3 linked regions of the Macaca mulatta genome follow. The main gene of each other region encodes a partner of the protein of the gene in region 2 in a complex. Links are inferred from orthologs where the notes say so. Each region holds a gene or a part of one and is shown on either strand. Other genes may lie near its edges. The genes, in order: KLHL2, WNK4 and KLHL3.

The links.
Region 1: the proteins of WNK4 (region 2) and KLHL2 are in contact, whole or in part, in a crystal structure (PDB 4CHB), measured with the Homo sapiens proteins. The link is inferred for Macaca mulatta from reciprocal best matches to the Homo sapiens genes WNK4 and KLHL2. Residues at the interface, in NP_115763.2 of Homo sapiens: Glu557, Pro558, Glu559, Glu560, Pro561, Glu562, Ala563, Asp564, Gln565; in NP_009177.3 of Homo sapiens: Arg345, Phe361, Gly363, Ser364, Leu365, Arg366, Thr392, Phe408, Gly410, Ser411, Thr412, Gly413, Ser438, Ser439, Tyr455, Ser487, His504, Arg534, Tyr583.
Region 3: the proteins of WNK4 (region 2) and KLHL3 are in contact, whole or in part, in a crystal structure (PDB 4CH9), measured with the Homo sapiens proteins. The link is inferred for Macaca mulatta from reciprocal best matches to the Homo sapiens genes WNK4 and KLHL3. Residues at the interface, in NP_115763.2 of Homo sapiens: Glu557, Pro558, Glu559, Glu560, Pro561, Glu562, Ala563, Asp564, Gln565; in NP_059111.2 of Homo sapiens: Arg339, Phe355, Gly357, Ser358, Leu359, Arg360, Thr386, Phe402, Gly404, Gly407, Ser432, Tyr449, Gly451, Ser481, His498, Arg528, Tyr577.

What each region holds. Positions count from the first base shown.
Region 1 is NC_133410.1:173,866,885-173,876,721, reverse strand, and holds part of KLHL2 (kelch-like protein 2), read right to left. Parts: intron 9,389-9,837; coding exon 9,260-9,388; intron 8,590-9,259; coding exon 8,449-8,589; intron 4,485-8,448; coding exon 4,341-4,484; intron 311-4,340; coding exon 282-310; 3' UTR 1-281. UniProt on the Homo sapiens protein: Substrate-specific adapter of a BCR (BTB-CUL3-RBX1) E3 ubiquitin ligase complex that mediates the ubiquitination of target proteins, such as NPTXR, WNK1, WNK3 and WNK4, leading most often to their proteasomal degradation.
Region 2 is NC_133421.1:67,132,008-67,141,844, reverse strand, and holds the start of WNK4 (serine/threonine-protein kinase WNK4), read right to left. Parts: upstream 9,287-9,837; 5' UTR 9,138-9,286; coding exon 8,520-9,137; intron 8,400-8,519; exon of another isoform or gene 8,307-8,399; intron 7,086-8,306; coding exon 6,913-7,085; intron 5,917-6,912; coding exon 5,696-5,916; intron 5,431-5,695; coding exon 5,273-5,430; intron 4,774-5,272; coding exon 4,685-4,773; intron 4,604-4,684; coding exon 4,387-4,603; intron 2,608-4,386; coding exon 2,343-2,607; intron 2,114-2,342; coding exon 1,992-2,113; intron 1,762-1,991; coding exon 1,703-1,761; intron 1,629-1,702; coding exon 1,484-1,628; intron 1,228-1,483; coding exon 1,111-1,227; intron 1-1,110. UniProt on the Homo sapiens protein: Serine/threonine-protein kinase component of the WNK4-SPAK/OSR1 kinase cascade, which acts as a key regulator of ion transport in the distal nephron and blood pressure.
Region 3 is NC_133411.1:146,581,284-146,591,624, forward strand, and holds the start of KLHL3 (kelch-like protein 3), read right to left. Parts: upstream 6,422-10,341; 5' UTR 6,186-6,421; coding exon 6,172-6,185; intron 1-6,171. UniProt on the Homo sapiens protein: Substrate-specific adapter of a BCR (BTB-CUL3-RBX1) E3 ubiquitin ligase complex that acts as a regulator of ion transport in the distal nephron.

The sequences.
Region 1 (9,837 bases), on a different chromosome or scaffold from region 2:
TTATGAAAGCAACTGTTGTCTAAAGACTACAGATTAAGTCCTGCAGTCCAAGTTTCTTATGAAAATTCAGTCAGCTGCTGCTCATTGCAGAAAAAGCCTACACGGTGCTTCTACCAAAAATAATCTTCAGTATCCGAGGCCTATAAAGGCAGACGATCTTATCTTCTGCTGAGACGTAAAGTGCAGCTACAAGTGGAGAAGTGCTAGATTCTCAGTCACTTCAGAAATACTTGTTGAAGGCTGTTTCTCATGTATAAATATGCTGAAAATGTCCTTCAGGCTCATAATGGTTTATCAATAACTGTGACCCCTGAGCAAAGAAATGAAGAGATAAAAAAGAAGTCACAGGCAGCATTCTGTATCTCTGAGAAGACACTCAATTCTTTATTATAATACGAAAGCAGTAGGAACCATACAAATCATGTTTCAGAATCTCTTTCTTAAACTTTAGTAGTATTATCATTTTAATCTAAATGACACTGAAATCTCTGTTTAGTTATGGACTAAATATAAGACTATTTAATCCAGAACTAGTCTCTTCCTCTTTGTAGTTAAAATTTGGAAAACATACTCAAAAGGGAACACAGAAACTTTTGAGCGTGACGGATATGTTCATTATCTTGATTGTGGTGATGGTTTCATGGGTATATACTATGTCAAAAGTAATAAAATTATATACTTAAATATACAGTTGACCCTTGAACGACATGGGGGTCAGGAGTGCTGACCCTCCCATGTACAATTTTTTACTCCCACACAATTCAACCGTTAACAGCTTACAGTTGACCAAATGCCTTACTGATATGGTCAATTAACATATTTTACATGTAATATATGTTATACATGTCATAACATGTTATGTGTTATATATTGTATTCTTAAAGTAAGCTACAGAAAAGAAAATGTTATTTAAAAAGTCATAAGGAAGAGGAACTATATTTACTATTCATTAAGGGGAAGTGGATCATCATCAAGGTCTTCATCCTTGTCTCTTCACATTGAGTAGGCTGAGGAGGAGGAGAAAGAGGAGAGGTTGGTCCTGTTGTTTCAGGGGTGGCAGAGGCGGAAGAGGTGGAGGAGGTGGAAGGGAAGGCAGGGGAAACAGGAGAGGCAGACACACTTGGTGCAACTTTAAGGAAATACACTGTAATTCCTGACTTTTTTGTTTTTTTCATTTCTCTAAAAATGTTTCCATACAATACCAATCCTCCTTCCACCACTTTCTTCAGTTACAGTGCACATATCATAGAACGGCCCATTTCATAAAATAAGTCATAAACAGTCTTGAATAACCAGAACCCTTTTGCCAGACTGTCTAATGTCAGTTTGTTTTCTGGCATTGCTTCTACGTCTTCTTCATTGTCTGGCAGTGGTTAAGAAGCACTCATCTCCGTTGAGTCATGTTCTGTTAATTTCTCTGGTTTGGTATCTATTAGCTCTTGAATTTCTCCAAGATCCATACCTGAAATCCTTCACCATCAACCTTTATAGTCACATCCACGATCTCTTTCATGATTTCTTTGACTGGCTCTGTCATAACTCCTGTGAAGTCATACACAACATCTGAACACAGGTTTTTTTTTTCCAGCAGGAATTTATTGTTTTGGATTTGATGACTTTCATAGTTTTTTCTATAACAACCATGATATATTCAATGGTGTAATCCATCCAAACTTTCATGTTTTCTCTGTTGAGATTCTCTTCCATAGCATTGGCAATTTTTTCCATAGAGTGCCATATAGAATGAACTTTAAGGTTCCTCTGGTCCCTGATCTAGAGGCTGAATTAGACACATTGTGTTTAAGGGCACGTAGACCACTTCTATGCCTTTGGTGTTGAACTCATGGGGTCCTGGGTGGCCAATGGCACTGTCCAATATCAAAATAAAAGGCAGTCCCTTACTGGCAAGGTAATTCCTGACTTCAGGAAGAAAGCACAGATGGAACCAATCCAGGAAAAGAGTTCTTGTCTAGGTCTTCTTGTTATGCAATCAAGACTGGCAGCTGGTATTTATATTTTCCCTTCAAGGATTGGGGGTTAGCAGCTTTTTAGATAAGAGCAGCCCAAATCATAAACCCAACTGCATTTGCACAAAATAGTAGAGTTAGCCTATCCCCTTCTGCCTTAAATTCTGGTGCTCACTTTCCTTCGTAATAAATGTCCTTGGTGGCACATTTGTCTGCATTAAAAACTTTTTCAGGCAGATAACCATTCTCCTCAACAACTTTCTTAATGGCATCTGGGAGCTTATCTGCTGCCCCTTGGTTGACAGAAGCTGCTTCTCCTGTTATCTTGACATTTTTTGAGCCAAACCCCTTTCCAAAATTATCAAGTTATCCTTTGCTTGAGTAGGCTGAGGAAATTCTCCAGTTTCAGATCCTTCACCTTCCTTTTGCTTCAAGTTGTCATATAATGACTTTGCTTTTTCTCAAGTCATATTAGAGTTGACAGGTATGCCTTTCTTATAGCAGTCCTGCACCCACCAAAAACCAAAACCAAAAAATCAAAAATAATAAAAGTTTAAAAATTAGCCGGGCGTGGTGGCACCCCCTGTAATCCCAGCTACTCAGGAAGCTGAGGCATGAGAATCGTTTGAATCTGGGAGGCGGAGGTTGCAGTGACCTGAGATCACGCTGTTGCACTCCAGCCTGGGCGATAGAGTGAGATTCTGTCTCAAAAAGAAAAATCCTGCATCCACATAAAAGCTGCATGTTCAACACAAGATAAAAAGGGATTTCACAAAAAGTGTGAAGTTTTCAAAACTGCTGGGATGGCTGCAAGGATGGCTTCATGAATTTCCTTTTTCCTTTTTACAATGATCCCGACCCTGGATTCATTTATTTTGAAATAGTGGGCAAGTGCAGCAGCAGACCTCAGTCCATGGTTTATCTCAAGCAATTCCGCTTTTTCTTGTCCTGTCATGACTCTTCTCTGCTTCGCTGGAGCACTTCCCAGCATCATCACCAGTGGCACTTTGCATGGGTCCCGCGGTGTTATTCAAGGTTTATGATATTGCAGTAAACATGATGAAAAATAACGCAGAACCATGAGAGAGAACTTTTTACTGAGATACGGTCACTGAAGAGACAAAACTGCTCTTTCAAAGGTGATTAGCGCCCCCCAGCTTTTTAAGTGGATACTCACAACAGCTGAGCTCACCAATGCAGCAACAGGAGACGGCTATAAAATTATTAGAGTAGTACAGTAATATACTACAGTTAATTTCATGCAGTTATGATTTAATATTGTATCTTTGTGGTTTGTTCACATTTCTCTGGACTGTGAATGACACCATCTATGGTTTGTAGGTGTTTGTTCTTGTAAGAGTTTGTGTGCATACGTTTTGATAAATTTTAACTTTTTGTAATAGATTTTTGGATATTTTGTAGTAAATGATAAAACAGACTAATATCTACATATATTATGTGTTCATAATCTTACTTAATTTTTTCAATATTTCTAGGTTATGCAGTTCATCTGAGTTTTTTCAAACTGTTACAAATCTCCAAAAAAATTTTTCCAACGTAATTATTTTTCAAAAAATATCCACATATAAGTGGACATACACAGTTCAAACCTGTGTTGTCCAAGGGTCAACTGTACGCTATGTATTCTGTCAGTTTATACCTCAATGAAGTTGTTTTAAAAATTAATCTAGTATTCAGCCATGTTATATTGGAATTCTACTGTACATAGTTCTTCTAAGTGCTGTTTTGAATGATACATAAGCAACAGTGATGGTTAATTAGTTTAGACATTTTCTTCCTCCACTATTGGATCAATTTTGTTACAGAAATATTATACTATTAAAAGCCAGATAAATATCACTGAAAACAATTTAAAGATTCACGATAAAATTTATTAAAATTATAATTTATCTTACTAAGAGAATGGAACAAAAAATCACATTTTATAACTCAACCAGTACCATGCTTAAGAAAGAAAAATTATTCCACAGCCTCACTATAATACTGTCTCATGGAGCCGCACCACGGGGAGACATAGGAATCCTATCCTATTTCTCGGACATCTCAGGAATTAAAGCCTTGTCACATAGTGACTTCTTCTTCTCTGCATACAGATTTTAGCTACGTTAAGTTTTATTATATGATTTTGTATATCAAAGACTTGGGATTTTGAATACAAATGACTGCAGAATGACAAAAGTATACTGGTGCTTTATTTCAGAATATACACAACCAATGTTAATCATCTTAAGAGTAAGATATAAACTATACCTTCAGAAAAGACTTTATTCTTATAACAGAAAAACTTTGTTAATATAAAAACCATAATGAGGTCATCTTTTCGTATGATAATTGACTTTAGAGACCAGTTACCTGCATAACTTCTCCCTGTGCTCATACACGATGACACAACTGTCCATTTATCGGTTGTTGGGTTATAATATTCTACTGACGCCAAGTTACAGGAACCATCGTCCCCTCCAACAACATATAACAGACCATTAACTGCACAAACTCCTTTAAAAAATTACACAGAGAGAAAACGATTATTTTAAAAAGTTGGATGAATATGAGTATCCCTGTACATGTTTAGTGAGGTAATCCAGAGACACTAATTTCTTTGAAAGGAGGCAAGAAAATAGTGAGCACGTAAAGAATTCTTTTTATTTTAGGATAGCCAGGCACCATGGCTCACGCCTGTAATCCCAGCACTTTGGAAGGCCGAGGTGGGCAGATCACTTGATGTCACGAGAGTTCGAGACCAGCCTGGGCAACATGGCGAAACCCCATCTCTACTAAAAATACAAAAATCAGCCAGGCATGGTGGAGTGTGCCTGTGGTCCTAGCTACTCCAAGAGGCTGAAGCAAGAGAATCACTTGAACCCAGGAGGCAGAGGTTGCAGTGAGCCAAGACCACACCACTGCCCTCCAGCCTAGGCAACAGAGCGAGACTCCGTCTCCAAAAAAAAAAAAAAAGAAGAATTCTTTCTTTATTAGGAGACTATAATACCACTTCTAAGCTCCTACTGATTGTCATTTATGCAGTAGTTACTTTATATATGCATTATTGTACTTAATTTTCACATTATAGGTTGGAAACTATTTTGACCCTCATTTTATTTATTTTTTTTAAATAAAAAGTCAAAGTCAGCTACTTAGGGAATCCTAAGAAAATATATGTTAGTAGAAGGTAAAAATATTCTTAATTTTAATTATCACACTAAATGGTTAGCTATTTCATCTCCCTTTAAAGAAGAGAATATTATTTATCTATTAAAATAACTATTTTCTTTGCAAAAATTCAAAATATCTAGAAAAGTATAAAGAAAAAAAGATGACCTCCAACCTTATGTCACTTAGAATAATGACCATTAAAATTTTGATCTCTACTCTGGCTAACTTTTCTTTACACATATATACTCAGATACTTTCTTTTTTTTTTTTTTTTTTTTTTTTGAGACAGAGTCTTGCTCTGTGCCCCAGGCTGGAGTGCAGTGGCGCGATCTCGGCTCACTGCAAGCTCCGCCCCCCCGGGTTCACGCCATTCTCCTGCCTCAGCCTCCCGAGTAGCTGGGACTACAGGCGCCGGCCACCTCGCCCGGCTAATTTTTCTTGTATTTTTAGTAGAGACGGGGTTTCACCGTGTTAGCCAGGATGGTCTCGATCTCCTGACCTCGTGATCCGCCCGTCTCGGCCTCCCAAAGTGCTAGGATTACAGGCTTGAGCCACCGCGCCCGGCCTTTCAGATACTTTCTTTTTTAACCCCAAAGTAGCTCACACTACACATGCTACTTTATTAAACAACTTAGCCACCCTGGCCAACCAACATACTTTGGACAGTTCCTCAAGTTAATAAATGTAATGTTTATGTATGATATCATCGTAGTTTATTTAATCATTTTTTTAGATGGATATTTAAGTAATTTTGATTTTTTTGCTGTTATCAATGATGTTGCAATGAACAAAGATCCCCTGAATATTGTTTTGAATACTTGAGCAATTTTTCCTAATATAAATTATTAGAAAGAAAACTGCTGAGTCAAATGGTAAATGCTTTTAAAAAGCTAATTCAATGTAATTTTTTAAAGTACATTTAATACCTTATAAAAAGTTCAGTGCTACTATGAACTTGTACTAGAGGGCATCAAAGAATCCAGAAGAATGCTGCCCAAATCTACAAAACTTTGTAGGAAAAAAACTCATACCATTTTAAGTTGTTCAAATACTTAAAAGGCAAATGCTGCTGCCACACAAGCTCCATACAGTAGGTATATGTGTATGCAACACTATATTTCAGTCTGTTGATGGACAACATAGGACTGTGAGAGAAAAAATGATCTCAAAAATGGCCCTGCTATGATGGAAGGCATGAACAAGGAGATTATATCGTCCTGAAGAGTTTTCCCAATTGTATCTACGAGGGGCTCACAGATTAAAGAGCATCCCACTGCAGAAAGGGAGGTTGGTCCATACATCCATTTGAATATATTGGCTATATATTCAGAAGACACCAATTTTACTAACCCACTAACTCACAACACCAGATTCCTTTTAGGCGATTGGAGCCAAATCACTTTGCCAAAAGGATGCACTTTCCTGCATTGTTTGATGGTTCCAGTTTATTCAGTTTACTTCAACACAATCAAATTCATATTGAGAACCTATTACAGACGTGCTAGGTATTAAAAGTCTATATATAATCATCTAATTCAAGTTTATTTCATTTTTACTCCACTCTTGGTGTCATAATTTACCATACTTATGAAAACTTTTGAAATTTGGCTGGTAAGCTGCTTGCTATTTCAAATTTATATGGATGCTTTCACCTCTCCCCATTTAACATTGAATACGTGTCCTCCACTCTTTGCCAGCTTAGTTCTTTCTTCCCAGTAATTTAGGTGCTTGGATGAGGTCCTGAGCCTAGGTTATTAAAAAGGAAGAGCTGAACAGATCTTATTAGAAGTTTTTTTCAGATTACCAGGAATATGGAATGAGGGTGAGATTTTAAATATTCTTATGAACTTAAATAATTTTAAAATATATGCTCAATTGGATTATATTGTATCTTGTAAATTATAGAAGTAAATAATTCAAGTTCTGTTATTTGCATAGAAAATAAACATAATTGATTGAGAAGGAAAAACTGAAAAGTTAGCTTTCAGATTTCTCTCTCTTCCTTATTATCAAATAAACTCAAGTAATGTTGTCTAAGTCAAAGTATGAAACAACTTTTCAACAGACTTAAGTCTTTTTCCTAAATCCTACCCTTTCCCACACAATTTTTTGAAGAACAGCTCTATAATGATAGACCTATCATATAGCTCTATAAATACAAATTATCTCTTTATTCTTCTACCTAAAAGAAATGAGTAATTTTTTATATGAAAACAATAAGCACATATAGAGAAAAAATAAGATTATTCTAACCTTTAAGAAAATATTCATAAAAAGCTCAAATTGCAACTAAGTTTCCTAATCCAGGAAGGACACTTGCACAAATCACCATGGCTTTTCTAACTTAATGTGTACAGGAGTCACTTATTCCACTAAGGACCCAGATGTGAGGGTCTTACCATTGAGCGAACTGATGACTAAATACAACTGACCAGATGACGTGCAAGGCCAGACAGATTTAATTATAAATTCTGGTCTGTGGCTAACAGTATCTGCAGTTCCACATACTTAGTCTTTCTTAGTAATCACACTTCTTTAAAGAGAAACTAAGATGCGTGCTGATGGAGGAGGGGTGTCCCATGGTGTACGTAAGTTTGAGACTCACCAGGAACTTATTTTACACTATGAGAAATGACATGAAGATAGTGGCATTTTGAAGAATCCTAGCATTTCCTGAAAGGCTATGTAGCTATCTTGAGTCTATTTTCCACTTGTATTTCCCTTCCTTGATTCTTCTTTTTAAGTGGTTATTTCCCTAATCTTAAAGTTCTCTACTTTCTTAAAATTATTTTTTGTTGTTGTTGCTTTAGTTTTTCCATTTTCCTGGAAATCCTGAACTGTATTAAGCTAGGGTTACCTCTGCAGACTTCCCCTCTAGATTTAGATAACCAACTAGTTTTTTAACCTAGTATAAATATTTACTCAACTAGACTAAATTTCCTGAGAAGTAGGATCTCCAGTATGTGATAGATACATAGTAGGCACTAAAAAATATTTGGTGTAAGAATGAATGAATTCAAGTATCAAATGAAGGGTCTACTCCTAATTAATTAGTCTCCAAGTTTATCACCAAAAAGTAGCAGCTAGTAGAAAAAAGTTTACTGACGTGTCACAACAACCTGTTATGTTCCAGAGACTGTGGCAGGCATTCACTTTACAGGATTATTACGTAAGTTTCTGCCTTTAAAGAGTTCAAAGTCTACCAGGGAACCCAGATCAGTAAAAGAACAATGGAAATACACAGTGATACTAGTGAAACTTAAAATAAAATTCAACATAAGTTTTATAACCTTAAACTGACAGATACCTGCATTTCTTCTGCACATGTTCATATCTGCAACCTGTCTCCATGCATTAGTGGTAGGATCATACACTTCAACACTTTTTCGTACTAAAGGGCCATCATGACCTCCTACAGCATACAATAAATTGTTTAACACACCAACACCTATAAAACACAACCAGCCAAATAGAGGGGCAAAAAGAACAAGAGATTTATATCATATTAGGTTTATTTAACTAATATGTTTATTTAACTGTAACTAAAACTTTTGAAGTTATAATTCATAATAAAAGCAAGCTGATACTATAGCCTACAATTTAAGAAATGGAAATCAATAGAATTGATGATTAAATAAGCATCTCAACAAACTTTTATTCTGAAAAAAGAGGCATGTCAAACAGAATAAAAATATTAATAATATGTAGGTGAAACACAGGGAGGGAAAAAGTCCTTTAATGTAATCCTTTTGAAAAAAATATCCATAATAAAATAACCCCGAATTAAAGCACAAAATTTTAAGAAATATACATGAAAAGATTTGATTATTAAGCAAGTTCCCCAATAAGCACTAAAAACAGAAACTAAAAGGAGTGCTAACAATGTGAATATATAAATGAAACAGAAATGTCTATAGCACTTTGACATTAAATTTTAAAGTAAAATTACTTTGTAATTACTCCCATTAACTGCACAATTCAAAAGACATTTAGCAGTGCCATTAAAATCAGCATATCATATATTTTCAGATAATGTAAAGTGATGCCACTGAATCATTTTACTTTAACTATTTTCCATCATTTTTGTGCTTCGATTGCTAAAATAGGTTCACATGTACCTGCTCCACTCCGCCTGGTGCTCATTTCTGCTATATAGCTCCACTCATTTGTTGTAGCATTATAGCATTCTACTGTGCTAAGACACTGACGTGACGCTCCATCATAACCTCCTACAGCATAGAGCAAACCTACACATAAAATCACAAAGAAAGCCAAATTTATTAAAAAACGAACAAACAAAAAACACTATTTTTTCAAGCCAGAAAATATTAATATATTTTCCTTCATGGCAGTAGAGTTTCCCCGTAAAGTGCTCTGATTTTTATGAACTATATTAGGGTCTTGCCTAATGGTGACAGATGGAGTAATCAAATCATATTATGAAGATCTGCAGGGTATAGATGATGTTAATTTTATACTTTCCTCAATAATCTGATAAAAAGCACACTCATTATATCTTTAGGTAACACTATTTGATAAGTGAACAACATCCTGTAAGACAGAATTAAATACCAAAGTTATCTTAGGAAATTGGAAAAAAGGTTAAATCAAAAATTAATATCAGAATGCAATGCAATATTACTTGGCAATAAAAAGGCATGAAGTACTAAAAAATGCCTCAGTATAAACAAATCTT
Region 2 (9,837 bases):
TGCAGCCTTGACCTCCCAGGCTCAAGTGATCCTCCCACCTCAGCCTCCCAGGTAGTTGGGATGACAGGCATGTGCCACCACACATGGCAAATTTTTAAAATTTTTTGTATAGATAGGGTCTCATTATATTTCCCAGGGTGGTCTTGAACTCCTGGGTTCAAGCAATCCTCCTACTTCATCCTCCCAGAGTGCTGCGATTACAGGTGTGAGCCACTGGAACCAGCCCACTCTGCCTATTTATTTATTTTTAGACAGAATCTCACTCTTGTCACCCAGGCTGGAGTACAATGGCGCGATCTCGGCTCAATGCAACCTCCGCCTCCCGGGTTCAAGCAATTCTCCTGCTTTAGCCTCCTGAGCAGCTGGGACTACAGGCATACGCGACCAGGCCCGGCTAATTTTTCTATTTTTTAGTAGAGACGGGGTTTCACCATGTTGGCCAAGCTGGTCTTGAACTCCTGACCTTGGGTGATCCGCCCACCTCAGCTTCCCAAAGTGCTGAGATTACAGGCGTGAGCCACTGCACCTGGCCTCTGCCTAACTCTTAACATTGTCTATTTTATAATCTGGACCCACTTTACCTACCCAGCTTCACTCCCCGCAACTCTCCTGTAGGAATCTTTACTTCTAATGATAGTGATTCCCTCATGAAGCCCTCCCAGCTCCATATTCCAAGTCACTCTCTAATTGGAATGCCTTTGTTTATGCTGTCCCTGCATAGGGACACCCTTCACAGCCTTTCCACCCTTCACGGCCTTTCTGGCCCATCTGCCAAGGTCCTGGGTAAGCCCATTGCCCCTGCTGCCCAGTCCATCCTTCACCTACAGCCACAGTATTGCACGTCTACCAGGCACTTACACATAGCACTTGTGTGTACCCGGTCAATGTGAGTCTCAAATTCCTCCAGCTGAGAAGCCAAACCTCCCTGGATAAACAGAAATCTCCCCCCAAAACAAGGGCTGAGACGTCTTCAGTGTCACTGTGCTAAGTGTCAACCAGAGATTTAAAAACCCTTGCTGTCGGATCAGTGGGTTTCAGCCCCAGTGGACATCCGGAAGGAGACTCTTGTTCCAGATCCAAATACTCTGTCCTCATCTCTCTCCCCCTCACCATGGCAGCTGCAATCTCTTCCGGGCTGTCCCCATCCAGATCAAATCGGAAGGTCACCATCTTGCTGTTATGGGTCTGTAGCTGGCACTCAACCACTCTGTCATTCTGGTCTGAGACCTTCAGATTCAAAGTCAGCAGAGGGGAGGAAGTCAAGCCCTCTGTCATCATGCTGTGTCTCCACCCTAACCCAGCCAAGTGACAGCAGCCACAATGGACTTGGAGATAAGTAGATCCCACCCCTAAAGTCTGGTCGCCTCTTGAGTACCAGTCACACACTGCTTCTCCCCTTTTCTGGGTGACGCCCCCGGCTTTCCCCTGACACTCCCCTCCTGGCCCTGTAGGTTACTCCCTATCTCCTGTACTCCATCCTTACACTAGTGACCCGCAGCCGGGATCGGGGTCTGCGCCGGAGATTCCTCCCTGGGTGTCTCCTCATTTGTCCCATCCCTTCTCCCACATCGCTAAGGCCTGAAGCTGCATCTGAGGCATAGCTGGTAAAGAGAAAGGAGACAGAATGACTGTCAGAGCAGACATTGAGACCCCAGTGTCCCAAGTGTCTCACCCTGGCACCCCAACTTGTACTAGAACATACCTGTCCCCAGGGGAAAAGTCACTTCCAGGGCCAGAACGTGGAATGGATAGGGCAAAAGCCTGAAACAGGATAAGGGTTCATGAGGTTAGGGGAAGATAACTGTTGCAATCTAGGGAGATGGTGTCAAGGATGCTGGAAGGATATTAGGGAGATAGAATTAGGGAAAAGGAGGACAAGAATGGTAGATTTCCAGGGACATAGGGCTGGATCATGAGATTGGGTTTCACAAGGAGGGAGATAGGTCATAGGCTTGGAATGGCTGGGAGTCCCCCATGCAACCCCCTCTCACCGAGGGCAGGCAGAGATGGGACTCAGCTGGGCTAGATGGCACCCCCCCAGGGGGCTGAAGGGCAGGGTCTGAGGCATCCAGGAAGCCGGAGGAGCTGAGGTAGCCATCAGTCTCGCAATCCGCTGGTTGGGGAGGGAGGGGATCAAAAAAAGGGGAAATGAAAGGGAATAGTGGCAGAGGAGGGGGCTGCCTAAGCAAGGAGGGGCCTGGAGCTGTGGGAGAGTTCCTTCCTGGAGGGAGCTTCATGGCTAGAGGTGGAAGGCAGGGTGACTGCGGCGGGGGTGAATTTCTGGGTTTGGGGCAGAGTCCAAGGTGTTCTGGGACCTATGTCTCAAGATCAGGGTGACTTACAGGTGGTAGATGAGTAGCTGGCGTGGCGGAAAAGGAAGGGCTGGTGCTGGTCTGCCTCTGGCTCCTCAGGTTCAGGGGGGAAAGCACTGGGGGGACCGGGAGCCATGGGCACAGTTGCTGGTGGAGGTCCTGGCTCTGGTGGGAGTGCCTCCAATTCCCTTGCTTTACGCAGCTTCTCACGCTTTCGCTGGATGGCGGCAACCCGTTCACGTACTGCACGGGCCACTGGCTGGTAATCGGCTTCACAGACCAAGCCCAGAGCTACCTGGAGTTGGGGTGGGGGATGAGGAACACAGCTTGGGACCCCCTCTCAAAGATCCATCAGGACACCTTCTTGGGAACTCCGGGATATGGGAGGAAGGAAACCAACACTTACTGATGACCCACTATGTCTGCTAACTGGCAGCTCCTTACATTATCATCATTAGATCCTCCAAACAACCTTGTGGGATAAACCTTACCATTCCATTTTAGAGATTAATGAATTGACCAGTTCATAGTTATACAGTAAGTCAGTGGTTTCCAATGGGAAGAAGAGATGTTTGGCAATATCTAGAGACATTTTTAGTTGCCACAACTCAAAGGTAGATGCTATTGAATCTAGTGAGTAGAAGCCAGGGGTTCTTCTCAATATCCTACAATGTACAGGGCAGTCCCTAAAACAAAGATGCCAACAGTACCAAGGCCAAGAATCCCTTGTCAGCAATGGATCAAGATTGGATCTCCATGATATGGAGACCTGCTCTAAATTTCTAACACATTCTCAGGTTCTTGTCCCACCGTAGGTGGTCTCCACCCTTGCAACAGTCATGTCTGTATTAAGAATCCCATACTCAGCCGGGCACGGTGGTTCACACCTGTAATCCCAGCAATTTGGGAGGCCAAGACAGGTGGATCACTTGAGGTCAGGAGTTCGAGACCAGCCTGGCCAACATGGTGAAACCCCGTCTCTACTAAAAAATACAAAAATTAGCTGGGCATTGTGGCTCGTGCCTGTAATCCCCGCTATTGGGGAGGCTAAGGCAGGAGAACTGCTTGAACCCAGGAGGCGAAGGTTGCAATGAGCTGAGATAGTGCCACTGCACTCCAGCCTGGATGACAGAGTGAGACTCCATTATTCCCCAAAAAGAATCTCATACTCCCTTCAGGACTTCCTAAGCCAGTCCCCAGGCGTCTGCCCTTGCATCTTATGCCTCTCCCCTTCTACCAGCTTCCATTCATCACCTCCTCTTTCCTTTTAGCCACAAGCTTTGCTGAGTGAGTAAAGGAGGTGGGGAAGGGTAACCTGATTTAAAATCTGAACCACCTCAGTTTCAATCCAGCTCTTCCACTTACCTACTTGGGGCAGTGGACAAGGTATTCAACCTCTCTAAATTTCCATTTCCTTATCAACAAGTTGAGATAAAACTGCCCCCTATGCAGGATGGGTAGCAAAGATCAAATGCATGTGAAAGTGCTTTAAGCCATGTACAGATGTGGGCTATTAATGAGCTCTTACTATGTGCCAAGCACTGCCAGGGATAGAAGAATCAATAAACACAGTCTCTGCCCTCAGGGAGTTTATAGTCTAGTGGAGAAGAAAGATAGGAACTTATTCAGGTCTAAGACAGGACCGATAGTGGGGAGTGATGTAACAGAGAACTTGCTGAAGTGGAAAGAAGCATTTAAGTTTGACTCCAGAGGGGATGGCTTCCCGAAATCGATGGTTCTGATCATATTGGAAGAAAAAGAAAAAGAACAAGGGGGAGGCAGGAAAGAAGGAAAAGATAAATTGGCAAGAAGGGCATTCCAGGAAGAACAGATCAGCTGGAGGTAAAGCAGGGATGCTGGAGGACCCAGGGCTCCCTCTGTAAAGGAAAACTGGGTGTGGGTGCAGGTAAGTTAGGGCTGGAGAGGTAGGGAGACGCTGCAGGAGATTCTGAGAGGAGTAAGGTGCCCCGCCCCCATCGCTGCCACGCCTCCTGCGCCCCATCCCTGTTGCACTATCTCCTCGGGTCAATGCCCTTTACACGTCCACTGGCAGCACAGTCTGTCCTCCGCTCACCATCTCCTGTGCCACCTCCTCGGCCGCGTCCCGGCCCAGTTGGAACAGGAACTCGATAGCCTGGTTGTCCCGTGGGCGCCCCCCACGCCGCGCGTCCTCCATGCGCAACCAGAGCTTGAGGCCCGGCTTCTCGCCGTCGTCCTCCTCCGCTAGTTCCACATGCACACCGCGCTCCTCGCGGAAGAAGGCGTGGGCCAGGAGGTCCTGGATGGTGAACCTGAGGGTGACGCGAGGGGTTAGCCTAGCCCGCCGCGGCCCGCGGCCCTACTCTACCCATGCTCTGCCCTTTCACCCCCACCTCTCGTTCTTATCCGTGCGGATGCAGCCTTCAATGATCTCCTTCACCTCGGGTATCTTCACCTTGTAGAAGCTGTTCGGCTTTCTGCCCTGGGGGAAGGGGTTGCATGACACCTCCGGTCCTTTGATCCCCAGCTCTCGGCTTGACACCCCCCACCCCTTACTCCACTCCCGCCTTAGGCAGCTACGCGTGCAGTTGCAAAAGCCTGACTGCCACTGGAAGATGTGATTTCAAATCTCACTCCCCGCCAAGTATTTACAGTGTGACCTTGAACAAGTCTCCCGCTGTTTGTTCATCTGTAAATCGCAGGGTGGAACATTTGCCCCGCTCACCTCACAGGGCAGCTGGAAGGATTGGATGAGAGATGGGATGCGAAATCATTTGTGAACTCTTGGGAGCACCACACATATTATTCTAAATAGCGTGTACTGGAGGGGGTGCATGTGCATTCAATATCCTGTGTTCCCCAAGGCGACTCTGTCTAGCCTGTTTTCGTGCAGGCAAAGGGCACTGACTGCGGGCTGGCCGGGGCAGGAAAATGGGAAGTGGCCCTGGAATTGCCTTTCCCGCCAGTCCCATCCCTCTCACCGAAGTGACCTTGCGGTAGATTTGCGCGGCATTCTGGCACTCGGAGTACGGGTACTCAGAGGTGGCCATCTCCAGCATGCACATGCCGAACGCGTACACGTCCACGGCCTCATCGTACTTTTCCTCGTACATCTCGGGGGCCATGAATTCCGGGGTCCCTGTAGGGTCAACAGCAAGGATCAGGTTGCTGGGCACTCTGGCCTTGTCCTTCCCATTGGGCTAGGTAGCCCCAGGCAACCCTGCGAGTGCAAGTGACCCCGGCCCACAGTGGGGTTGAGGAGGGATGCCATAGGTCTCCTCAGCTCCCCTGTCATCTGGTAGTTTCGTGGACCTTGAAGGCCCTTGCTGAGGGGAGGGAGTACCTAGGTTCTCTTCTGAGGTGGGGGAGGAAGGAATGGCATGGACCCTCCTGGAGAGACGCACCGATGACACTCTTGGCAAAGGAGGCGCGCTTGAGCGTGGCCAGGCCCAGGTCCCCGATTTTGACGGAGCCAGTAGGGCCCGTGATAAAGACATTGTCGCACTTGAGATCCCGGTGCAGGATGGGAGGAACCCGGGAGTGTAGGAAATGAAGTCCCCGCAGGATTTGGCGGCTCCAGCGCTGAAGGACTCGCGGCTTCATCTCCCGGAACCGCCTCAGGTACCTGGGGGAGGGCACATAGCAAGGGTCCTGGTGGGGGACACGGCCAATGGGGAGGAGTCCCCTCACTGGGAAGTTCCCCCCTGCAGCACCCTGCTGCCGCCTCCGCATCTTCTGCCAGCATTCTCCTAGTCTATGTCTGCCTGGCCACAGGGAGAAACTGAGTCAGGGGGTGTGGTGGATAGACATGATGTTACCAAACGGGTTGGGAAGTAAATTGATAGGGCCGCAGCCAAGGTGCTGTGGAAGCGCAGGAAGGGATGACCAACTGCCCCAAGCATGAGGGAGGGCTTCGGAGAGGAAATACTTTTGTGTTGCATCTTGAATGATGAGTAGGAGCTCAAAGGTGAAAGGGGGAAGGGATGGAGACTTCCCAGGCAGACAGGACACTATGCTCAAAGGCACGGAAAAAGCCAGTGACAAGGCAGGGTGGGACGAGGTGCCAGGAATTTGGTGTGATTGGAACTTAGGCTAAAAATGAGGCTGTATCCCAAGGCGTCTGTGAACAGGTGAGCCTGTGTGGGCTTTATTCCAAGGCCATGGGAAACTTTGAAGGGGTTTTAAGGAGGGGAGTGACAGTTCAGATTTTCGACTGGGAAAGATCCTCCAGGCTGCAGGAAGATAGGATCGCTTAGAGGGTGGCAGAGTTTGGGAAGGCCCTTCAGGAGGCTGCTGCAGGGCTCCAGATCAGCGAGATGGCATTGAGGTGGTGGCATGGATGAAGCAGTGAAAGCCAGGTGGGGAGAGGTTAAGGAAAGACTTGGGGACAGACTGATGAGGGGGCAGAGTGGAGAGAGGGGAGTCTGGGGAGACACCCAAGTTTTTGACTGGAGTGCTGGGTGGACATTGCCACTCACCGAGGCAAAGGCTGGGTGAGAGGGAGATGATGAACCTGGTTTTACACCTGGATATTAGAGAGTTTGAGGAACCTGGGAGTTCAGGAAGCAGTGGGCACACATCCCAGTCTCCCTCTCCCCACCCACTCATGCGCAGAGCTCACGTCTTAAGTGTGCCCGAGGTCATGAGTTCGGTGACCAACACGATGCAAACCTGGCCCCTCAGCACTGACTTCCACGAATCGTAGAAGCGGACGATGTTGGGGTGCTGCAGCCCCTTGAGCATCTCCACCTCCTCTGAGAAGCGCTGCCGCTCAGCTCTAGATAGTTTCCGAGTCTGTGGGATGGGGGACGGGTGTCATGTCAGGCCCAGGACCCCCACAGAAAGGAACACCTGGAGTGGGGTTGCGGGAAGAAGTAAGGGTTGGAGCCCACAGATGGGGTGGGATTAGTGGGATCACTCGCCCAGTGGGCTGCAGACCCTGAACTCTCCAACAGTCCCCCACGTAAGCTGATCCAAGGACACACCCAACCTGGGCCTGGGGCAGCCCCCTAGACCCCCTGCTGGACACAAGCTCCTTTATGCAGCCTGGTCCCGGAGTCCTGAGCTCAATAGTGCCTTTGTGGCTGCCCAGGCCCGCCATGGGGCGGGAGGGGGCACCCGGGGGCTGGCAGTGAGCAGGCAGCAGGCGGGCAGCAGGAGACCGCGGGCAGGGAATTGGGGCCGGCAAGGGGGTTGGCCCCAGAAACTGGGAACTGCTAGATCCAGACAGAAGGCAGGAGGGATATGGAGGTTGGTACTGAGAAGGAAAGAAAAGATCCAGAACTAGGTGCCAAGAGGCCGCCCACCCCCATAGTTGTCCCGCCCCGGCTCCTCTCCCTCCCCTCACCCACCAGTTTGGCTGCCTCTCCTGGCCTGGCCCAGAGCCTGGGGCGCGGCACTGGCAGGCGCAAGGGGCGAGCCCTGTGCCAGGGCTGGAGAGGGACCCTTCCCCTAGGCTCTGTCCCCCAATCTGAATCCGAAGCTTCGGGCCCCAAGTTGACTGGGTTCTCCTAACCCATATGTAGCATGGGAGCGATGGGAGGAAGGTCTTCCTAAAGCCCATGGGCTTAGTGCCTTTAGATATGGGAGGGAAGGGAGAGCACAGGTAGGCAGTGGGATGAGGAGCAGAACTGGACTCACTCCAGAGCTGGAGCTCCCTATGTCCCCCTCCTCGCAGCTGTGAAGTCCAGAAGTCTGACTGCTCCAGAAGGGACTAGGGGGCCCCATTCTGCCACAACTGCCCTAAATCTTTTAGAGTTGGAGAGGACCCTTGCCCAGCTCCTGGCTTCCCACATCCCAGCCTCCTGGTCTGCAAACAGGTGGGGACGGGGAGGAGTGAGGGGATCAAGAGGACCAGGGTCATAACTGAGGATCTCAGGACTTAGGGGAGAGGAAGGGATTGTGGGTACCCACCAGCAGGAAACTGACCTGAACTGGATCCCCTGCCCAACTTCCCATCCTATCTTCCACCTCTCAGGGTTGAGTATGGAGACTTTAAAGTGAGAATGTTCATACCCATGGAGGAGTCACCAGACACCACCTGCCTCAGTCTCTCCTTCTGCAGCCCAGAGTCAGCCAGATCATTCAGGGCAAAGACAGCAGAGGTGTCTATAGACATTTGGAAAAATATATCCTTCCCTTGACGCTGTCTCCCCCACCCTCTGTCTCTCATCCTAAGACCTCCAGAGTCCCATCCCAAGGTGCCACCGAGGGGGCTCCCAGCCGCACCTGCAGCTCACACCAGGCCACCTCCACTGTGGTGTCGGTGTCTAGCCCTCGATACACCGTCTTGAAGGAGCCACGTCCAATCTCGATGTCAAACTTGAGGTATCGGCCATCGGGGGACGTTGCCACAGCCTGGGTCTCCATGTCCTCCTTTTCTTCCTGCTCCCGCCGCCGCTCTAGGGCCACAGCTTCAGGGACCCTCAGCGGCTCCCTGGACCCCGGGTCCACTGCAGAGTCCGGAAGCTTGGGACGCGCGGAGTCTTCTGCAGCCTTCACAGGGGCTCCCTTGGTCCACGTGCCCTCGGAGGTTTCTTTGGAGCTAGGCGGTGGGCTCCTTGCGGGGCCAGGACCAGAGGAGTCCGGAGGATCGGGGGGTTCCGGAGCGGGTGAGGGTGGCAGGGACCAAGAGCTCAGCAGCCCCAAGTCGACTGAGCTACGGCGGCTGACACGAGAAGAGCGCGGCCGAGGCTCAGCCTTCCCGGAGAAGCGGCGCGCTCGGCGAGGAGGGGGCCCGAGGCGGGGCTGCCCCGCGGTGGCAAGAGGCGGCGGGGGCCGCAGCGCCAGGTCGGCCTCAGTCTGGGACATGGGGACGGTGGCCTCCGTGGCCGGGGGTGCCAACATGAGGAAGAGCAAGGCGCCGAAGGGTAGAAAACCAGACGGCCGGAGACGAGGCGGTCTGACAGGCAGACCCGCTGGGCGCGCAGAGCTCCGGCTGAGCGGCTGGGGCCCCAGCCCCCGGCTCGGCCGGCCCCGCCCCTGACCCCGCCCCGCCCCTGACCCCGCCCCGCGGCCCGCCCTTGCCCCCCACGGCCGCCCCTCCGAGCCCGCGAGCAGCCCCTAACCTTAGTCGCCGCCCCGCCCAGCCGCGTCCCCCTGTTTCCCGAGCCCCCGGCCGCAGTCTCACTCTGAGGCCAGAACTGAGTGGGAGACCGCGGTGCGTCCTCCCGCACTAAGAGTGCACAAACCTGTTTGTGCGCGGGGGAGTGCAGGAGAGGAAGACACTCGGATCCTAGTAGGGGATTACTTAGGGGCAGGCTACCACCGGCCTGCACACCCCAGATAAGGCAGCACCACCGCCTCCTAACTGTCCGGAGTAGCCCCAGGCCGAACATACAGAAAGGACAGTGGAAAGGTCTGACGTTGTTGTCCCTCTGGTCTGCATAGGGAATGGGTGTGTGCTCCCCAGGATAAGTCCCTCCCCCAAACTGCCCGGTCATCCATCCCCTCCAGGCCACCTTGGCCGCAGCCTAGTCCTGGCCAGAGTGGCTGTTTTTGCAATGTGGGCTCTCCTTCCTCCCTTTCTGTTTGCCAAAGTCTCCAA
Region 3 (10,341 bases), on a different chromosome or scaffold from region 2:
AATGACCAAACTTAGATTGCTACTTCTGGATTAATGAAGAACCTGACTCGTGAAGATGTCCAGCCAGCAGGATTCAGGACTTGGTGGTGCAGTCCTGCCACCACAAAGTACCATTTACACACAGGTTACCAGAGAGCCCCATACTCTTCATCCTCTTTCAGCAGTGCCACCTCAGTTCATAGCATTAGGTTGAACCCCTGTAATAGCCCACATGGATATGTAGAACATATGCATTAGTAAGGTATAGATTGAGTTAACATTTCCTGAAAGTTGAGGGTATGTTAAAGCACCTTACCTCCATTATCTCATTTTATCTTCAGAACAACCCTAGGAAGTAGGCAGTATTATCTCTTAAGGTACAGAGATAAAATTTGTCCAAAAGTCCCACATAACTAGTAAGTGCAGAACTGGCACTGAAACCCAGGCCTATCTGACTCCAAGGCCTGGGCTCTTAATAACAATGTCCACCGACTCAGGATAATGTCCATAGCCCATCAGACCAAGGGAGGCACAACCCCTCATGTCCCACTCTCTGACGTTTTTCCTTGTACGACCAAACCAGGCCAAATGAAAAAAGACTAAATCTCCTAGGACCTGTGATATAGCACTACTTCACTTCTGATTATGGGAAATTGCAGTGTGTACTGGAGTCAGTGTTATTAATTGTACTGAACTTGGAGTTTACACACTGGGGCCTTCACACAAGCCAATCATGATTCACCAAAGATGACCAGCAGCTGCTGTCATTCCTGTAATGTGCTCCTTCATAAACAAGCTCAAGAACAGGTATGTTACTAATCACATTCCTAAAACCCCAACTCACAGACCACTTTCTGCAAAACTCAAGGGGAAAACTCTTAAATGGGCTATGTAAAAATGTAAAACATTTTACACAGACAGATAAAATTAGACAAGAAGAGAGAAAGACTAAAAGAAAACATGCTATTCATTATGTGACATTTTGGAAGCCAAGTTTATGTTTAGTTTGAATAGGAGAGATAAGCCCTTGCATGTGTGTGATTTTGATAGTGGCTACGATATACTTTCATAAATGAAAATGAAAAGTCCAGGAAAGTTGTGCTAAGACTCCGAAAATCCTCATAAATGATAAAAAGTTAGATCTCTGACCTGAGAGGCATTGAACTTATTTAACAGAAAAAAAAAAAAATCTGGGTTGGGCGCAGTGGCTCACACCTGTAATCCCAGCACTTTGGGAGGCCAAGACGGGTAGATCACGAGGTCAGGAGATCAAGACCATCCTGGCTAACATGGTGAAACCTCGCCTCTACTAAAAATACAAAAAATTAGCTGGGAGTGGTGGCGGGCGCCTGTAGTCCCAGCTACTCTGGAGGCTGAGGCAGGAGAATGGCGTGAACCCGGGAGGCGGAGCTTGCAGTGAGCCGAGATGGCGCCACTGCACTCCAGTCTGGGCGACAGAGCAAAACTCTGTCTCAGAAAAAAACAAAAAAACGAAAAAACCTACCAGCACATGTTCAATCTATTTTTTACATGGTTTATTAGTGCTCTATTCCGTTTAACCTAGTTTGAACATTCATCCAGAAAATGAAAAAAAAAAAAAGGTTAGTTTGATGATGGCAAATTTCATCAAATAAAGCACTTTTTAGGAAAACTCACACAAAAATTATCTTGTCCAGATCTGTCTTACCAATTCAAAACTTAGCAAGCAAAATCCTAAAAATCCAAATCTGGGTGCAGGGAAATCAAGAGGTTTCTTTCCCTGACTTTGTTTTTGCAGTTGAAAACTTTACTTTGCCAAAAAGTATTTCCAAAATGGAAAAATTTGGTTTCAATTATCATGGTTGAAATGCATGCACATCTGCTTCAGGCAGCAGTGATGCCCAAAACTTTTTACAGAATTTTCTATCCCTGACTTCTAAGGTTCGGGGAGGACTAAGTGACTTGCCACTGGGAACAGAAAAAAGGCGAGGTTGCTCAACACTTGCTCTTCCCTGGGTCTTGCCAGCATTTAACCTGACATTAGAAAACTCAACATTTAAAGTATACTGGCTTTCAAAGTCTTGTCTCCTCAGAAAATATTCTCTATCTGTCGTTCCTGGATCAAAGGTAAATAGATGAGCTCCTTTGGATCAGAAGTTCCCTGAGGTCCAGGAACAGGCTCTCCTTCGTAAAAACCAGTCAGTAAGAACTATCCTCTGAGGACACCTCACACAAAATCACAGCACAGTGCCCGGTACATGATGCCCGTCTCAAGCAGGGGCATCGCTGTGCTTCTGATGAAGAAAATAATCATGATTTTAAGAAAAATAGACAATTAACTTCCCCTTTTTATGATGCTTCTTCCAAAGTTGTGCTGCTCTGTAACTCTTGCAGATCTGCCACAGTCTGGGCCTCAATGTTTTTTTTATTGTGGTAAAATAGATGTAATATAAAATTTATAATTTTAACCATTTTTAAGTACAGTCGTACTGTTGTACAACCATCACCACCATCCATCTCCAGGATTCTTTCATCTTCCCAAACTGAAATTCTCTATCCATTAAACAATAACTTCCCCACTCCTCCCTCCCTCCAGCCCCTGGCAACCATTTTACTTTCTGTCTCTATGAATCTGACTAACCATTTATTTTGAAATTTTATTTTAAGCTATCCACAAGGCTGATTTCCAGAACTGAAATAAAATCCCAATTGCAAGGACAACTGCCATTTGTGATACCTATCTTCTCTACATACCCACTCACATGGACACAATTTATCATTGTAATAGCTAACAGCCAGAGACCCTTTCCCTTTGCAAAAGAGAAGACAAAATCACCTTCGTCTGACTGGTCAAGCCACAGTGATTCTCCCACAGAGGGAACTGGGGAAGACTCAGTATCATAAGTTCCAGGAGAGACCTGGAAATCTAGAAAGATACAGCAAAGGTTAGTGCAAATTCACAAGTTCTTCTTGAGATTTTGGCCTGAACAAACATGTATCCAGCCCATGGTTCCAAATCACTGAGGCAACTAGATGCCACAGGTTGTCTATAAAAAGAAAGATTAAGGTAGATCTTGATGAAACCTAAAAGAAGAAATGCCAAGCCCTATGGGGGAACTTACTATACGGAGATAGTTTTAGGTAAGAAGCAAGATGATGGCCTGATAAGCTCCCTCATTTCCTCATGGAAATGGTTCTACTTAATCTGCTTTGGATGATAAACAGAGAGAGGTCCTAAAATATGCCTTGGTTAGTAACCCAGCAGCGAGGTATAGGCTACAACATAGCAATAGGTGGATACCAATGATAATAGCAACTACCATCTCCTGAGTACTCACTCAGTGCCTAAAAAACTTTACTAGGTACCTTACACATATTGTATCATTTAATCTTCACAACAGCTCTATGAAGTATAAGTACTGTTATTATTTCCTTTACACAAAAGAGAAAAATTAGTTCTGAAAAGAGTGTGACACACTCAAGGTCACACTGTAAAGTAGATTCACCACTAGGTCTAAGTTACTCCAAAGCCCATGCTTTTAATTAATAGCCTTTCAAGGTACAAAGTATTTTCATACCCTCGTGGCAAAGAAAAAAAATTGTTCATTAGCAATCTCTTGGTTGAAATTTTGTAATGCTTAAAAACAGCCCCAATTAAGATTCAGCAGGTTAAGTGTGGAACAAGCACCAGATTCAGGATCCCTCCAGTCTCTGGAGGTTGGACATGTGATCCTAGGCAAGTCACTCAGCTTCTCCGGACCTCAATTTCCCAGGGAACTTGCAAAACAAGGCTACTTCCCTCTGTTCTCCCCCCTACCTCAAAGCATTCCATGGAGTCAGTTACCCGTGCTAAGATAATAAGGCTGATATCCAAAGATGAACCTATTGGCCAAAGGCTTCAGTCTCTTCTCTCACCAACTTTCTTTTTAGTTATCAGAGCCTCACACAAAGGTTATTAGTTAATCAGCTAATAACTATTCAGCACCTGCTATTTGTGTACCCACACAGTAGTCAATGGGCGTATTTAGAAGTACAAGGTACTAGCCTTGCCCTTGAGGACCTGTCTCCAAGTTTGGGGACTGCTAAGATATATGAAATAAAAGCACTAAAAGATCTGATGGGCCTATTATTCAGTGTCCAACTATGAGATGCAAACTAGAGGGATTAGAATTCAGAAGAACATCAGCCAGGACTAGAAAAGCTGAGTTTCCAAGATAAAGTAGAATTTTAGAATAACCTTGATAGATAACTTTTGCAAAATTAGAAGGGAAAGACATCCAGCAAAAGAAACTCTGGGAGCTAAGGATATGAGGCTAGATGAAGTAATGTATAGGATGGGTGATCATGAAAGAGATCAATAGAATTGTTAGTAGGTTTATGAGTGAGCAGTGGGAATGGGAACAGGAGTTGGAGTTCAGAAGACTTGAATGCCTGGCATGGTAAGCTGGGCTTGAGGCAGGAACAAAAGGTATGACCTGGGTGACCTGGTGAACATTGGAAGCTGCTCGGTTTGGATTTCTTGTCTACCATCTGCCTTCAGCAGAGGAAAAGTACAAGAACATGTGCAACCTGGTGTTCTAAAGCCATAGACATCAGCCATCCCAGCTGAGAGGCCCCAGGACAGGGGCAGGGACTCATTACATTTCTGAACACAGAACTGGGAACACAGTGCCCCAAACCATTTGATCCGCTGCTAGTAGTCTCACACTGATCTCTCAACCCCAGTTACACCACAGATCAAGCAAATAGGCATGGCCCAGAATCTCTAAACCTTCATCACATCAGCCCCATTCTCTGCCACCTACCAGACCAATGGAACACTGTTTGGGGGACCAAAGACACTGCTCACCTCTGCCCCACACCTAGGAAACAAGCCTTCACATGTTCTGCTGCCCAGCAGGCCACATGCAGTTCAACACTAAACTCCTGTTACAAAGAGCACCCAGAAAGACGATGCACCAGCAGCACAGTCAGTCCCAGGCTCTTCCTGTGGGAGTCATCAAGAACACAATTCCCAGGGCCTCTACGGACAAAAGAATGAGATGACACTCAACCATCATGCCAGTTCTAATAGGGTCTAGAGATGTTCAATGGCATCATTGAGCCCCGTGAGACGCAGAAGTCACAACAACTCATGAAAAGGAAAGTGTTCACTGAGAGATTCTCTAGTGTTGACTTAGTTGAGCCTATTATTGTTAACCAGATAGTTACTGTCTGCATCAAACTGGCAACCTGGAGCAGCAGCCTTCCCCTCAGTGGTGCACTGCCATGGCCGGACCCCTCCCTGCAGTGCTCTCTCCTCGGATAAAATGGCAAGCCCTGTACTCTACCAACTGCAGACCAAAGAATGAAGAGGTTGGCACTCAAGAGATATTTTACTTCATAGACAGAGGAATGTCACCTCTGCACTGCACTGAGTACTTTCACAATGAAAGATTCAGATCTTCAGATAACAATTTAAAAATTTAGATGGGTGTGCCTGCCAGGATCTAACTGCCTCGCTAGTTAGATCCAGCTCAACAAAAGTACTTGAAATCTTTTCTGCTGGTTCGTATTTCAAAAGAAATCCCTGATGGAGGAAGCACAGACCTTCCAGTATAACTCATAAACTTTTCAATACAAATATGAAACTCAGTTCAGAGCAAGTGTCATCTGACTGGATTTCTCTCCTTCATCCCTGAATGTGTGTGTATACAGGCATACACGGCGTGCCTGCGCGCACACACACACACAGCCATCAGCATGGCATGCCTGCTGAAGATTCGAGCACTCCTGCGTGAAAATGCAAGTACACTATGTCAGGCCGGCCCCACTATGACATCAAAAACCCCCCACCAAAGAAAAAACACCCCGGGAAAGTAGCCAGGAAAGGGAAACGCCTCCTTGAAACAGCCTGAGAAAGGCAATCTAATTCAGCCTGTGCTGAAACTATTCCCGAACACCAGCCAGGAAGTCCCTTCTTTCAGGGTGCTCCGCTGCCTAGCAAACCCAGACCTGCCTTTGCGGAAGCCAGATCTCTGGAGATTCAAGCCCTGGAATGGGTGGTTTGGAAAGCGGCTTTCCTGCTCTTGCTCTGCCGCCCTTTGAGATCCATCAGTGGCCAGGTTTTCCAACCCTGCCTAGCCAATGCAAGCACAAAAGCTGGTGGCTGTACCGCAAGCACACATTTACTTATATACACACACAACACAGCACATACTTATACATACATACCTTTCACCCTCCATTGTGTGAGGCCCAGTCAGGGTGGTAGCCGCTGAACTGTGTGCATGCACCCGGGAATCCTAGTTCTGTTCTTGATTCTCCCAGCAGACCAGTGGGAGATCTGATCAGCAACAGTGATTCAGCATGGCTGCAAGTGAAGCCTCCTCCCTTCTCAATCCTCCTTCCTCTGACTTACTCGCAGCAGCTTCTACCGCAAAAGCAGCAGCAGCAGAAAATGTCTTACCCAGAGCTCCCTGCAGCCCTTTCAGCTGCTAAAAGCAGCAACCCACTTGCTCCCCCTCCCCCGCAGGCTTGCTGCTCCTTGGTCTCCTAGGAACGGCAGCAGCTCCAGCGACCCAGGTGCACTGCCACCTTTCCAGCTGCCTCTGCATCTGCCCAGGCATCCCCAGCCCAGGCGATTAGCCCGCCCCTGGGGCTCCTGCCTCCTCTGTCTAGGCTGCAAAGAATCAGGCAGTTCGTCACTAGCCCGAGAAATACTGGCCCCTACACCCTCCCCTGCCCCCATAGGCTATGAGTCTGTCAGCCTGGCCAGATTGCTGGAATGAGGAGGCCCCTCTGTGGCCTGCAGTGGAGTTTATCATCCACCTGGGGAAATTCACTTGTAGGTCACAGTTTATGTTCCAAATCCTCCTCCCAAATTCTATAGTAGCTCTGAGTGTCTGATAGATGGGGAGAAGTTAAGGAAAAAGCACCTGACAGAAGTGAGAAGAACACAGAGAGAAATTAAAAGAATACAGAGAGAAATTGGAAAATTAGTCGAAAAAGAGAGGTAGTACAAATAGGTGAAACGGAAACAAACCCTATTTTACTCCAAGAGGCCAAAGACTACTGCAGTAAAGCTATCACAATGAATACTAAAATATCTTAGCACAATCCTAAAATATCTTCCTAAAATCTGTCATATTGGAATTTAACTTAAGCTGTGGCTCCAACTAGTAAGTCTCCCACTGAACCCCCATATCCAGCCAAAGATCTTTCACATCCTGTAATCTCCAGCTGCTAAGCTTCTATTTAGACTAATTTAACTCTCCCTGCCTGGAAAGGCTTCTCCAATCCCAGTCCTTTAGTCTTTCTGGGAGGCTAGTCAAAATCCCATGTCTTCATAACTTCCCGAATCACACCAATGACAGCCAATCACCACCAAAATAGCTACAAACTATACTGTCCTGTATTGTCATCTCACACCTAGCTAATTCATTATTTATAAATCTTCTTTCCCAAACTAAAACATAATCTTGTGGAAGGCAGGAGGCCAGTCTGTATATCCTAGCCACAGAGGCTTAGAGGTAACTGGGGCAATTAGCCACAAAAAGTGGTGCAGAAGCTACCCTAATGCCTCAGAAAAATCAGCTATGAGCATCTCTCTTCTGGGACCCCTCAAGACACTCCTGGGCTTTTCCGAATCTGCACCAGCTCTCACTGGGTGAGTGACTTTCCTGAGTAGTGTTCTCCACACTCTGGACCTCATGCTCAGCTACTCATTCACAATATAGGGTCAAGACCAGACAGTCTTTAGAGTCCCTTTCAGCTCCAAAATCACAGGATTCTAAAAATGTTTTAAATGGTCTGTTTTTCTTCTCAGAGTAATCTGTATGATTGTTTAAGAAGAAACACTAGGCTCTAATGTTTTGTAGGGGGCTTCAAGGAGGATAACATGATGTAGGTGAAAGTATGAAGAGACGCTTAGTAAATCTATCATTCTTATCATTTTAACCTGATAAATGTCTTCACTACTACAAAGCTCTAAAACCACAGAAGGAAGAGAGAAACACTGGGGTGACAGAAAGTAAAAGTAACTAATACTTTATATAGCCTCCTGAACTCAAACTGGCTACAGGGTTATTCTCAAAGATTACCTCCCCTGGCACCTCAGTGTTCTCTTAGACGAGGCCATTACTCAAACTCACTCTTTCTCAAGTGAGAAGAGGCCTGGATAATTTCATTTACACCCCACAGGGCTGTATCTTCACTTCTTCCTTTCACAACAATACCCCTCCTATCTTGTTCCCTCTATGTCCCTTCCTCCTCTAATCAGCCTTGTGGCCCTGCTCCAGATATTTCCTCTTGAGGTCAATCACAGGGACCACAAAAAACTGAACATCACAAATAAGGAAATTGAATCTCGGAATCCATGCCAGAGTTCAGACATCCACCAGGAAGACAACTGGGTGATTCATAAAAGGGACATAAGAAAGAGATGACTCCTTTGCACATACCCACGTTTACATATTCGCCTTACAGGAAGGTGGGGAAATGCCACATCTAATACACCAGACAGAAAGAAAAAAGATCCAAAAAGGAAATATGTAAGGGTTGTGGGTATTCAAGTTTCAAAATACAACTATTAAGAGCCAATATCAAAACCCACAAAATTTCCCTGCAACCCACTTTTGCCATGCTAACCGATATCATTATAATGTATGTGTCAAAACCATACTACTACACCTTCATACTTTATTCACCACTCACGATTCACAGGAAGTAGACAGAATAGAGAATACTCAGAAGACGCCATTTAGAAAAGAAAGCTCATCTTAAGCAAAAAGAACAAAGCTGGAGGCACCACATTAACTGACTTCAAACTATACTACAAGGCTATAGTAACCAAATCAGTATGGTATTGGTATAAAAACAGACACATAGACCAATGGAACAGAAAAGAGAACCCAGAAATAAAGCTGTTCACCTACAACCAACTGATTTTCAACAAAGTCAACAAAAATAAGCAATAGGGAAAGGACTTCCTATTCAATAAATGATATTGGGATAACTGGCTATCCATATGCAGAAGAATGAAACTGGACCCTATCACCATATATAAAAATTAACTCAGCCAGGTGCAGTGGCTCATGCCTGTAATCCCGACACTTTGGGAGGCCAAGGCAGGCAGATCACCTGAGGTCAAGAGTTTGAGACCAGCCTGGCCAACCTGGCAAAACCCCATCTTTACTAAAAATACTAAAATTAGTCAGGTGTGGTGGCATGTGCCTGTAGTCTCAGCTACTTGGGAGCCTGAGGCAGAAGGATCATTTGAACCCAGAGGTTACAGTGAGCCGAGATTGTACCACTGTACTCCAGCCTGGGTGACAGAGTGAGACTCTGTCTCAAAAAATAAAATAAAATAAAATAAACTCAAGATGCAGTAAACAATTAAATGTAAGACCTAAAACTATTAAAATCCCAGGGAAAAAACCTAGGAAATACCCTTCTAGACATTGACCTTGGCAAAGAAGTTACAACTAAGTCCTCAAAAGCAATTGCAGCAAAAGCAAAAATGACAAGTAGGACCTAATAAAACTAAAGAGCTTCTGTATAGCAAAAGAAACTATCAACAGAGTAAACAGTGTACGGAATAGGAGAAAACATTCATAAACTGCATCTGACAAAGGTCTAATATGCAGAATCTATAAGGAATTTAACTCAACAAGCAAAAAACATATAAACCCATTTTGAAAAGTGGGCAATGGACATGAACAGACGTTTCTCAAAAGAAGACATACAAACAGCCAACAAATATGAAAAAATGCTCGTCATCACTACTCACCAGAGAAATGCAAATCAAAACCACAATGAGATACCATCTCATCTCACACCCGTCAAAATGACTGTTACTAAAAAGTCAAAAAATAACAGATGTTGCCAAGGCTGTGGAGGAAAGGGAATGCTTATACGCTGCTGGTGAATGTAAATTAGTTCAGCTACTATGGAAGGCAGTCTGGAGATTTCTCAAAGAACTAAAAATAGAACCACCTTTTGACCCAGCAATCCCATTACTATGTATATGCTCAAAAGAAAATAAACCATCCTACTAAAAAGGTACACACACTTGCATGTTCATTACAGCACTACTCAAAATAGCAAAGACAAAAAATCAAGTTAGGTGCCCATCAATGGTGGACTCAATAAAGAATGTGTGGTATATATACGCCATGGAATACTACATGGTCATAAAAAAGAACAAAATCATGTCCTTTGAGGCAACATGAAAGCAGTGAGAGGCCATTATTCTATGTGAATTAATGCAGAAACAGAAAACCAAATGTCACATGTCCTCACTTATAAGTGGGAGCTAAACACTGGGCACATATGGACATGAAGATGGGAACAATAGATACTGGGGACTACTAGAGGATGGAGGGAGGGAAAAGGGGTGATATG